3 linked regions of the Canis lupus familiaris genome follow. The protein of the gene in region 3 purifies or fractionates together with the protein of the main gene of each other region. This does not show direct contact. Links are inferred from orthologs where the notes say so. Each region holds a gene or a part of one and is shown on either strand. Other genes may lie near its edges.

Evidence for each region. Proteins that work in one complex are often made in the same cells at the same time.
Region 1: the proteins of DYRK1A (region 3) and LZTS2 purify together in Homo sapiens (affinity purification with mass spectrometry; 8 studies listed by BioGRID and IntAct, counting the BioPlex papers as one, with this or other methods). This does not show direct contact. The link is inferred for Canis lupus familiaris from reciprocal best matches to the Homo sapiens genes DYRK1A and LZTS2.
Region 2: the proteins of DYRK1A (region 3) and CDC27 purify together in Homo sapiens (affinity purification with mass spectrometry; 3 studies listed by BioGRID and IntAct, with this or other methods). This does not show direct contact. The link is inferred for Canis lupus familiaris from reciprocal best matches to the Homo sapiens genes DYRK1A and CDC27.

Annotation. Positions count from the first base shown.
Region 1 is NC_049249.1:13,868,816-13,872,921, reverse strand, and holds the start of LZTS2 (leucine zipper putative tumor suppressor 2), read right to left. Parts: upstream 2,801-4,106; 5' UTR 2,644-2,800; intron 2,215-2,643; exon of another isoform or gene 1,693-2,214; intron 597-1,692; coding exon of another isoform or gene 1-596. Other genes in the region: proline-rich protein HaeIII subfamily 1-like, read left to right, coding at 1-596. UniProt on the Homo sapiens protein: Negative regulator of katanin-mediated microtubule severing and release from the centrosome. Required for central spindle formation and the completion of cytokinesis.
Region 2 is NC_049230.1:17,584,116-17,588,415, reverse strand, and holds the start of CDC27 (cell division cycle protein 27 homolog), read left to right. Parts: upstream 1-1,500; 5' UTR 1,501-1,661; coding exon 1,662-1,688; intron 1,689-4,300. UniProt on the Homo sapiens protein: Component of the anaphase promoting complex/cyclosome (APC/C), a cell cycle-regulated E3 ubiquitin ligase that controls progression through mitosis and the G1 phase of the cell cycle.
Region 3 is NC_049252.1:32,322,102-32,325,601, reverse strand, and holds part of DYRK1A (dual specificity tyrosine-phosphorylation-regulated kinase 1A), read right to left. Parts: intron 2,567-3,500; coding exon 2,260-2,566; intron 1,758-2,259; coding exon 1,633-1,757; intron 1-1,632. UniProt on the Homo sapiens protein: Dual-specificity kinase which possesses both serine/threonine and tyrosine kinase activities. Exhibits a substrate preference for proline at position P+1 and arginine at position P-3.

The DNA of each region.
Region 1 (4,106 bases), on a different chromosome or scaffold from region 3:
GGAGGCGCCCGGCCCGGCCCGGCCCGGCCCCGCCTCCGCGGCGCCCCCGGCCCGACCGGCCCCCGTCCGGCCCGAGTGGGCGGCGCAGCGCGGGGGAGGGGTCCGAGGGGCGTCCCCGCCCCGGCGCGGACACGCGCAGCACCCCGCGTCACGCGGGGCCGCGCCGCGGGCCTCGGGACCCCCCACGCCCGGTGGGCTCGGGGACTCGGCGGCGGCGGCGGGTCACCCTCCACCCCTACCCGGGCCCCGGGGCCAGCGGCAGCTGGTCATTGTTCCAGCACAAAGGGCCCGGCGCCACGGCGGCCGCCCTTCCCCCTCCGCTCCTCCGGTCGAAGCCTCCCCCGCAAGACACACTCCGGCTTCGGAGTCCCGAGCGGGGCGCGGAGGGCCGGCCCCCCCACCCGCCCCGGCCGCCGGGCCCCTGCTCCCCAGGGCCGGGTCGCGGACCCGGGCTCGGGCCGTGCCTGCCCCACCCCCAGCGGTGGAGGGAGGCAGATTCGGATTTGCGGAGGCGGCGCCACCAGGCGGCGCGTTCGCAGGATACACCGCCACCCCAGCAACTTTGGGGGCCCCTACCGGACTGCCCAGCACTGTAGCCTGCCCCCCGCGAGCCCAGGCCTGCCTCGCGCGCGGCCGTCTGCTCCCCAACCTTCCCTGAGAATCATTTGCTAAGAGAGGTCACTGCTGGGAGAGAGGCAGCCCCTGGCCCCCTGACAATCACTGGGGTGAGGCGGTCCAAACCTACAGTCAGAACCTACACCAGTCCCACAGCTGACAACATCCCTCGGTCTTCTCAGGGTCACAGAGAGTCTCACCCTCTCGCAAACAACACAATCTTCCTAACACCCACACGACTTTTCCCACATTCGGTCCCACGCAGCCACAATCACAGTCTCCTCCATCACGTGATTCCAGGTTCCTTCCTTCCATAATCTTTCAGGCCAACTTACACACAGACACACTGGGTGTCACACACCTTGTGCACAATCTTTCACAAGGACTCAGAGTCCTTCCTACCGAGTCACAATCTTAAATGGGCTTCCTCTCCTAAACATCTTTAACACATTGGTGGTCTCATTCAGTCAGACAACTTACACATACCCATGGTGTTTCACGAGCATTTTTTACCACAAAGACTTTTTTCCCCCCTGAGGGGTCTCTGGTCAGGTCAGCTGATGCCCACACCCCCAGCCAAGGACAGGCCTCCCACCCCCTACTTGCATCCCCACCCCCAAGGCCAAGGCCTGCCAGAGCTCCTCTGCCCCAGGAAGGAGCATCCCCCCCTTCCAGGCCACAGCCCTGGCCAGCTCTCAGCTCTATTTTTAGCTCTATGGAAAGGGTTGTTTTTCTTTCTTTTTCCCTGGAAAGGGAGGCATAGCCCAACCACCCTCAGGCTCACCCCAGACCCTGAGCCACATAAGAATAGACTGAGCCCCCCTCCCCAGTAGAGACCCCCTCCTCTGGCCTTGCCCTGATCCCAGCCTCTTGGGGCACCAGGAGCCTCCTCCCCTTTCTGGCAGCCAGCCCGGAAGCTCAGGCAGCAGCTGGGCTCAGCGTGTGTGTAGGGGTGGAGGGTGGGGCAGAGAGGGAGGCGAGGGCCGCTGCCCACTCCCTCATTCCCTGGGGGAGGGGGCTCATCCTCCCTTCTAGGGGAGGGGGATAGGCCCACTCCCGTACTTCGAGGACATTTACCTTTATGCATTCTCTGGGAAAGGAGGACTCCCACTCTCGCACGAGTGGGTTTTCGGCTCCTACAGTTGAAGGGAGGAGCTCCCAGTTCTGCAAGGAGGGGTGGTGGTAGGAAAGGGACCCACCGGCTCTCAGGCAGCTGCTCCCCAGACTGGAGGTATGGGGCCGGAGCTGCCGTATACTGCCACCCGAAATAGCGCCCTCCTCCGATACCTTCCGGGATGAGGGCCCCACGAACGTGTTCGTTCGGGTGAAGGAAGGCAAGGAGCCCAGGTAACCCCACCGAGCCCAAGAGTCTCCAGGCCTGCGCTACCCGGACTCCAGGGGGCGTTGTGCTCCCATTTCAGGGGGAAGGCTTAACATTTCTTGAGGCGGAGAATGGAATACGGCCCGACAGGAGACCTCGGAGACTCGCCCAGGGTTGGGGAGGGAGGTCCTCGCCCTGATGCGGGGGCGAGGGAAGCACAGCCCACTCGTCTGCGAAGCGATCACGTGCTCGGCGCCTGTTTACGTCTTAGTCTTCACCTGTGGGCGGCCAGGAAGCAGGAACCTCCGGAGGTGTCCCACCCGGCCCGCCCCCGTCGGCGGTCACCGGGCAGCCCCTTCTCCCACCCCTGCCAAGTACGGGACAGCAGAGCACCCTGTCAGCTGGGGCTCCGTGCGGGCCAGTGGCGCCGCTCCAGGGACTGCAAGGGTAACCCACTGGGCGCGTCCTCTCCTGAGTGCACGTGTGTCCTATGTGCGTGGGTCTCGGCGCGCGCGCGTGTGCACCCACTGGCGTGAGTTTCCGTGTCGGTTCCCTGTTCAGGCTCCTCGCCTGCGGGCCCCCCGGACCCCAGTGTGGGACCCTCTCCTCACTCCACCCCCTAGCTTCCCCAGACCGGGAAAGTTCGCTCCCGACCCGGCATGTGCGGGAGGCCGGAGTGCCCACACCTCCGCGGCCCCACCACTCACCCAGGCCACCTGCGCCGCCGCTGCCGCTGCCGCTGCCGCTCCCGCCCAGCTCCTGCCCGAGCGCCGGCACCTCTCCGCCGCAGATCTGCCGGCTCCCAGCCAGCTCCGGGCTCCGGACTCCCGGCGCCCGCCGGGCCCGGCCTGGTGGAACGGGGCGGGGCGGGGCGGCTGAGGCCGCGCCCCCGACCCAGGGAGGGGAGTGGTCTGCCCAGCACCCCCTCTACGGCGGACCCGGTACCCAGCCCAGCAGTAGCTCGGTGGTGGCCAGGTTGCCCCTCTGGCCTCCGACTTCACAGCTTTCTGGATTTGGTTTTCGACTTGGGGAAAGGGGCGAACAGCACGTGACCGGGAGCTAAACTACCTGGCCGGCCTAACCAAGTTGACGATAGGACTTTACTGCCACCTGCCCTACCCTGTAAGGAGCCAAACCGGGTCGGCTCTCAGCTCATTCCCCAGGAACAAGGAAAACCCCTAGGAAGCAGACAAAGAAGGCTCGGGTTTCACTAAAACAGACCCCGCCCCACCCTCTGGTCGGAATTGCCCTAGCAGAGCCAGCCCCTTCCCCCCTCCCCGCAGTAGGTGCCTACCCAGGTGAGCATACTTGCCAGTTCTGGCCCCCCACAGAGCATGGCCAGGCTTCCCTTACACTCATAAAGTTCCACCCACAGGCACAAACAGGAAGTTGCCCTGTATTGCAGGAAGGCACCTAGGGCTCCATCTGTGGCACCCGAGGCAGCCTGTGGGAAGGCACAGACTGTCATCTACAGGTATCTGAGCCTTACTTGCAGCAAGAGTATCTGCACAGGAGGAGTCCAGTGAATTTAATCTCTTCTCCAACTCACCTGCAGTAAAGAAGCGACTGGAAAGCTGAAAAAACGACACTAAATCTGAAGACACGGCTGAAGATCCAGCTGGACCCAGCTGGGCCAGGCCCTTCCTAAACTCTCAGGGTGATTAATATCCGATTGGAAAAAGAGCCCGGGTAATTTGCCTCAATCCACTCTGGTTGGGTACAGGGACAGTGGCTACCAGGGACCTTATTCCGGACCCAGGGATCCCCTACTGCTTTCTAGGCTCCAGGGACTTCTAGACATACTTTTGGCTAATCTTGATGTGAGTTTAAGACAGGTGTGCAATGGAATGTGTGTGTACGGGGTGGGGTTGGGGGAGTGTCAATTTCCCCTCTCCCATCATTCGGATTTGTGCTTTGTGTGTGTGTGTGTGGGGGGGGGATGTCTGCTAGGAGGGTGGAGCAAGACAGGCAAGTGCGTATCTATCCTTCTATCCCCAATTCACAGAGACCTCACAAAAGTCCCCTAATGGAAATAGCTAAAGGATTTTCTGAGAACACACCAGGCCTTCCAGTAGACCAGAATCCTTAGAGGTAGGAATGACCTGGTGGTGTACATCTGGAAGGCATGGCTGACATTCAATGTTACAGACCCTGGATGAGGCATAGACCA
Region 2 (4,300 bases), on a different chromosome or scaffold from region 3:
GGACAATTTAGAAGACTCATAATCTTGCTAAAAAAAAAAAAATAAGGCACAGGGCAGAAAATCACCTTGGCACTTACCCTTTACAGGGCCCAGAATACAGAAGCAGTTAATAGAGATGGCTGGTGGTGAAAGATATAGCTCTCTTAGCTAGTATTAAAAAAAAAAAAAAGCAAAACAAAACAAAAACAAAACAAAAGCAAAACAAAACAAAGCAAAACAAAGCAAAACAAAACAAGCCAACCCTTCGTTCAACATCACCTAAGGGAAGTAATCCATTTTAACCTGATTTCATCTGCATAAAACGAGAGACCCAGAAAGGGAAATTCCTACATAACAGGATATACCATGAGTTCCTCACCTAGCAACTGAGATGTCTTGATTGGACAATTAACTTTCTAAACGTGTTTTCATCATCTACCAAAAAACCCCAAAATTGTAATAGTTCCCTGGCTCACACATTTCGGCGGGGTGGGGGTGGGTAAGGGGAATGGGAAGGAAATCTGAGAGAGCCTCTTATGTGTGTTAGACACACCAACATACATCCATGCATTTAATTCTTTTAGTCATTTTTTTTTTCAGACTAAGGAAATAGATGTTCAGAGATGTGACTTGCCTCGGTACTTAAAACTTAGTGCCAGAGGTAAAATTTAGAATCAAGCCTCTGGATTTCCCAATATGCCACAGGAAAAAAAAAATTATCAGGAAATTTTTCCTTATCAGGAAAAAAAAATTCTGTCAGCCTTCTGAGATTTTCCATCATCTGGTCACCTAAGTAATTATTTCCAGCTAATGCCTTAACTCTAACCGGACTGATCTCACTTCTGCGTCCCTTCCCTTACCAGTCTTTTCTTCTAATTCTACCCATCCTTCAGAATCCAGTTTGTCTCCCTTTTCCCTTCCCTGAAACTTTCCTCATCTTAATCCCAATTTAGTTCCCTCTCCTCTTAATTTTGACGTCACTCATCACGGGCATCACGTAACATCGTAGTGACGTCTTCGGTGTGGACAGCCCTGGTCCAAACCAAGTCTTTGACGGGCGGCAATCCTTCCAAATTTCCTATTTCTCTTTGAGCCGTGCTATATAGGTACTTCTGGAATGAGGAACGAACTAAACTCAAAAAAACACTTCTTGATTAAAGTCAGCCCCAAACTCTCGTGCTTTACCCTCCTGCTTAATCTACCACACACCAATTGATCCGGAGAGCGGGAGCGGCGAGCGGAGACCGTAGTCGGGGCACGTAACGCACCCGGCCCGCTTCAGCAAGCCACGCCCAGGGTCGCCGATTGGGCGTGGCCCAACCTCGGGGGGCCGACTGGGCGTGGCGTGCGTGAGTGAAGGCGTGGCCGAGAGGAGAAAACTGCGCTCTGGATCGGAGTCGGTAATATCCGGGCATTCTCGGTAATTTCCGGCAACGGTCCCCTCCTCCGCCGATCGGCCTCGGGCATTTCCGGCCTCCTTCGGGCTTTTCCGTCTGGCTCCCGCGCCGATCTCTCCACTTCGGGCATTTCCGTGTCCCGCTCGGAGGTACTCGGCAATCGCTCGGCCTCCCCCATCCCCCGGTAACGGTCGCTGGTGAGTTTAAATGAGCCGGGGCTGGCCGGGCCGGAGCCGCTACGGGGGGGGCCTGAGGCACTGCAGAAAGTGGGCCTGAGCCTCAAGGATGACGGTGCTGCAGGAACCCGTCCAGGTAATGATAACGTCGCTCGCTGAGGCTTGGCTCGCAGCCTCGGCCGGGAAGCCGCGTATGGCCACTCCGCGGCCTGGTGCGGCCTAGGCCCGGCTGCTTCTCCCGCCTCCCCTGCTGCCGGGTCCTGCCTGCCTGCTCGTCGGCTCCGAGGCCTCGGCCGCAGCCCGAGCCGTGTTAGCTCAGGTCCTGCGTTGCTTCCCCCCGCGGTGTGAGCGCGGTTCGGCGATAATGTCTCCTTCCCCCGCCGGTCCGTCGTCCGGCCAGCCCCTCCTGTCAGTGCAGGGGCCTGGCCCCGACCCGAGTGAGAGACGAGGAGAGGGGTGGGAGGGGGGGCGGCGGAGACTCGCCCCAGGTGCTCCCTCGCCCAAAGGATGATTGGGAAGCACATCTGATCAGAGGTTGTGCCACCTTCGTAATGGTGGGGCAAATTGGCGGAGGGGCTGTTTGGTTTTGTTTTTGTGCTCTGGGAGAGGGTGGAGGGACTATAGGATCGGTATTTTTAATCCATTTCTGTTTTGGCAACAGACGTCCTAGCCCACGTTGTGCGTTTCTTGCTCAGTGGATTCCACCCCCCCTACACCCCCCTTGGACAATGATCTGGGAAGAGAACTCCAAGGCCCAGTGCTGAGGGGCAAGCACCTCTGGGGGTGGGGGGAAGGGGTGGCAACGGCCAATCTGGGGGTTTCCCCCGTGACCTGTGATGGGGATCAGGAATGTTTTGTTGTGCATGTTGATAAGGCGTTTGGAAAATGAAAGACCGAGCAGGGTTTTTACATCCATTTCACTGTGCTTACGACACCAGGGTATGCTTTGACGCACAGTGCTCTGTTGGCATGGGAGAAACCCTATTGGATTTGAAGTGTGATGCAGTGCCAAGTCATCCGCCGCCCCCCCCCCCCCCCCCCGCCATCTCAAGAAACTGAATCTTTTGTCCCTTCCTGATGGACCAGGTCTGGGAGACTTTCCACTCACCATAGGATCTTTGGTTTGAATAGAAGAGTTGACCTCTACCAACTGCTGTCATTGAGTTATGGGCTTTCTTTATTTTGAAGTTACAAGGCAAATCGATTTTAGAAATCACTTCATATTACCCTTAATAGGCCTGTGATGTCAAATGATAAATATTCTAAATAGATTACCACTTCCGTATTTCCTTAATTTTTCTTTCACAGGATGAAATAGAAATTTCTCCCAGTTGGCTTCTTCTTTACATACAGCTCTTCACATATAGTCGCTCTTGGTATTTGAACTAATATAATGTGGGATTCTCTCTCAGGAAATTTATGTTTGTAAGTTGTATCAATGCTTCCAGAGCTATTTCTTGCCATCGAAATTCATGTTACTGGTGAAGTCTCTTTTAAGATTATTTTTTTGAGGCCTAATGTGGGATTAGAAGTTATCTGTACCTTCTTAAATGGATAAGCAGATCACTCAAGTTGTTTAATTTCTGTTTCATATTCTTGTAATTTTGTCTTAACTAATGATACATTTGCCTTCTCTGGCCCCAGAAGTCTTCTCAAATGATAAACTAGTTTCATTGTTAGCCTATAACCACTATTTAATGACAATTTCAACTTGTATAAAAACATGGAGAAGAAAAGAAATATGTAGCCTATTCCTCCATGTACCCATCAGGTTTACTCTTTTCCTTTCCTCGATGTACCCATCAGGTTTACTCTTTTCCTCGATGTACCACCCATCAGGTTTACTCTTTTTTCCTTAAAGTACTCTTAGTGGTAAGGCACTTCAGGATTTTCAAGGGCTTGAAAGTCAATTTTGTCGTCCCCACCCTCACCCCCCACTACCTTTGTCCATTAGATTTGGGGACTATGACTACAATATGACTACGTGAGAATTTTGGTTGTAATTTATAGTAAAAGAATCCACTCAAGAAAGGATCTGGAGCAGTGGGAGAAAAAAGCCATTTTAGCTATGATGATAAAGATCGACGGATTGGGGATAGGGCTGAAAATGGGAAGAATTAGGGAGAAAATAAAAATAGGACAGATACTGTTTATGTGGTTTTTTAAAACTATGCTAAGTAATTGTACTTGTAAAGGAAGAGTAAGTTGGAAAATTGTTGAAGGAATCATGATATTACTAGGCATAGGAAAAAGTTGAGAGGAAAGATAAGCAACTGTTTTCTGCAGTTTTTTTTCTTTAAAGTTTTACTGTGGAATAGCCAATCTCATAAACCACATAAGCTTAAATATTAGCTCCTTCTCCAAATTGTCTCTCATAGAAAAGCATTACTTTATATAGGAGTCTTTACATACATCTCTTCTATTAGGAGGCAGAAATTCTGTCAATTATTTTTAATATAATTGTTTGGGGAAGACACTAGCCTAAATGACTTCAATTAGTGTTAATTTGGATATTTATAAAACTCACCTGATGAAATTGATGTAAAAAAAAAGACATTAATGGACTTATCAATTATTCCTGGGGGTAGAACTTCACAGAAGTGTCAGATGAAGTAGTAAACAAGGCTTGTAAAAATTGCCTTAATCAGTATAATAAGTGGGTACTATACACATAATACTATTTTAGAGATCATTTAGATAACGAAGGAATACTTTTGATTTGGAATAAGATATACAGGGACAGCATCT
Region 3 (3,500 bases):
CCCTCTCCCCATCGCTCTGCCCATCCCTTGCTCAGCACACATGTGTGTGCACTCTTTGGAATGAATAATGAATGAAGTTTAAGAAAAGAAAAAGATGGTACCGCAGTCATCAGTAAGGGTGGGCAGAAGAGAATGCAGAAGAGACAAGAAGGAAAGGCCAGAGAAGTGGGGGAATGTCAGGAGATACCCTGTCAAGGCAAAAAGGAGGAGAGCACTTCAGAGGGCAAGGAGGAGCTAACACGGTAAATGTGGGGGAGGAATAAAAAAAGGCAAGCGTCTGGATGCCCATTGGCCTCCTCAGCAGCGATCACAGCTGACGCTGCAGGAATGGCATCCTGGGCTCGTAGGCAGCCCAGCTGGAGCAGACCAAAGAGTTCCTCGGGGGTAGAACAGAGCTCCCACGACCCTGCCCCAACCGACTAGCAGAATGTAGGGCCAGATATAGGCCAGGGAAAGGTTCGGCTCCAGATGGGAGAGACTTGGGGAGGACCACATGCTGAAAGGAAGAAAAATCAAGCAGAAGAAGAGAAGCTGTAAGCTGTAGGAGCCAGAGGCTGAGCAAGTAGGAGGAGCAAACAGGAGGTCAAGGGGGGGAGGGGGGGCTGGCCTCAGCCAGGAAGGAAGACTGCTTCTGAGGAGAGAGAAGCTCAGAGAGGTGAACAAGCACACACATAGGCTGGATGAGGTGCTTCTGACTGAAGACTCTCCTCATGCAGCAAGGAGCAAGGGCAAAGAGGAGGTCAATGGTTTCTCCAAAGAGTAGAAGCAGCAACTGAAACAAAGATTAAAGAGAACGAGAAAGACAAGAGGTGATGAGGAATGGGAAGCCTGCTGGGAGGGCGCAGGGGAATACTAATTAACAATGGTACCAAGAGTGGTTTTCTCCTGCAGCATTCAGGAGCCCCAGCCACAAGAATGGGGGATGACAGTCAGCAACCTCGGTTTTACCTCACTCATCAAGTAATACACTGACTGGCCTCTCATTATAAAACACCATAATGTAATACCTAGTATCAACTCACTTATTACTTAACAGAGTATTTAATAAATATTTTTACGACCACCATCTGTTTCACCCCATTTAAAAAAAAAACAAACATTACTCAATTACAGCCTCTTCTTTAACAAATTTAGAAAACAAAGGAACAAACAAAAAACCCTCAAAAACAAAAAGACAACAACAACAAAAATAAAAATCCCAAACCCAAACCAAACCAAACCAACATGGAGGTTAAACTCAAGCCACATACTGACTCTGAATCAAGGACCATTAGTGATAAAAGATCATGGAAGCAGCCAGAGCACAGTAATCAAGATCACAAGCCAGGAAAAGTGATTTAACCCATCAAGTGCAGTTCCCAATATAAAAGGAAAACTCGAACAGTGTAAGGCTCAAAATGCTGCTGGGGAAAAACAACTGGAACAGTGGCTGGGACACACCCAAGAAATGTTAGCTATTTCTAAATAACGAAGTAGAAAATTGCACAGATATGTTTCTTTAGTCACAAACAGGTGAGAATTCCCTGTGAGGAAGCTTCCATGAGCCTCTGGGGGAAATGGCACAACCACCCACCACTGTGCTGCCTGGCCACGGCAGGGGACGGATAACAGAGGAGTGGCGAGCAAGCTCACCTGGGGGCTGTGGGTCTCACAGTCCATGGCCTGGACGGCAGCTGTGAAGTGCCCGCCGCTGTGCCGATGTTGGTGCGTTGGATCCGACCTGGCTCTCCCGCTGTTGCTCGTCCCCGACGATCCACCTTCAGGATCATAACACAGTACAACTTGTAAGTTTGAAGTTAATTATGCTCAAGTATAGATTCTAGGACTGGAACACTAAAACTGAAAGTACATCACACACAAAAAGCTCTATTAACCTGAAAGTGTATCAGAAAATTATCCCATCCTCTAAGTTCTTTCACATCAGCCACTGAGCTGATACATGATCGTTTGGTTTTGGTTGAATTAGGGGAAAATTCAAGCATATGAACAAAGTATTTCTATTTACAAAGCAATTAAAATTTTGGGTTAATCAAGAGTTTTGGTTCCCACTGCCCAGCACAATTTATTATTCATAGTTAAGTATTGGAGCTTTGGGGCAGTGAATTTTTTTACTAACTACAGAGAGTAGATTTAGGAAAAGTAATTCCTCCCTATCCCGATCAACGAATTTTTAAAAGACTTTACAATAACCGCCCCGCCCCCCTTCGTAAAGAAAACAGTCGAGACTTCCAAGCCGAACGTAGAGTTAGCAGAACTGACCTGAGCTTGAAGATGTACTCGAGGTGGTGCCCGAGGACTGTGACTGCTCCATCGCGGGGCTGGTGGACACACTATTACTTGTATTGGTGCCTTCGTCAGCTGTTTTCTTGAAAAAACTGTGCTGCAGGGCATAGTAAGGTTGAATTCGAGTTTTGGGGTCATAATCAAGCATCCTTAAAATGAGGTCTTTGAACTTCAAGTAGTCAGCTACAGTATGACCCGATTCCCCAGCACGACGCCCACCAGGTCCTCCTGTTTCTACTCCGAGAATATTATGAAGTTTACGGGTTCCTGGTGGTTTATACTCCTAAAGAGAAGAAAGATAAAAGGCTTCTCTAAATTTGATGGAATATGTAAAGGCCAACATAAACTTTAAATATGCTCAAATCTATTATATAGAGACCCTTATTTAAGAGACCGCTTTCTAATTAGATCCTCTGTATTTTCACATATTACTACTGCAAGCGCACTTGTAGTTAGAGAAATTCAAAATAATTTTGAGACCAAAAATGACTTTAAAGATGCTGCCCAGGCCTCAGCAAACAATGGCTTGGCTTAGGGGTGTTTTGTACAGCCTCAGCCATAAATGGTTTTTATACTTTTGGAGGTTATAAAAACAAACAAAACCAAGTAAGATGCAATGGAAGCCTACAAAGCCTAAACCTTTTATTATCTAGTTCTTTATAAAGGAGATGTGCTGACTACTGGCTCTGGCCAAATGGTTCTGAGCCGCTTTTCTGCCTGATGCACCAGCGACCATGGGTGCACTTTCTTTCATCATGGTGGCTCTCCGAGATGGTGGTAATCACTCCAAGTAGGCTCCAAGTTAAGATCCACTGATTTAACCCTGCCCACTCATTTTTTAAAATTTTATGTACTTAAGTAATCTCTACATCCAATGTGGGGCTTAAAATCACAATCCCAAGATCAAGAGTCGAGTGCTCCTCTAAGTCAGGGAGGTGCCCCCTGACACTCATATTTAGATAAACTGAAAACAAATTATGCCTCCCTTTAGAATATGGAGATATAATATGTGTTGAGACTTTCAGAAAATTCATTTTTAAACAGATGATAGTATAACCCTTAAAATCCCTTATTTATTCAGAATGGATTTTTACTTTTAGTGACAAATGGAAACATTTTCAAGATACCACTGCTCTCACTCTAAAAGCAAGAACAAGCCAGGCAGGTAGGCCACAAATCATTTCATTTAAAAAACCCATTAAGAGTATCATGGACCA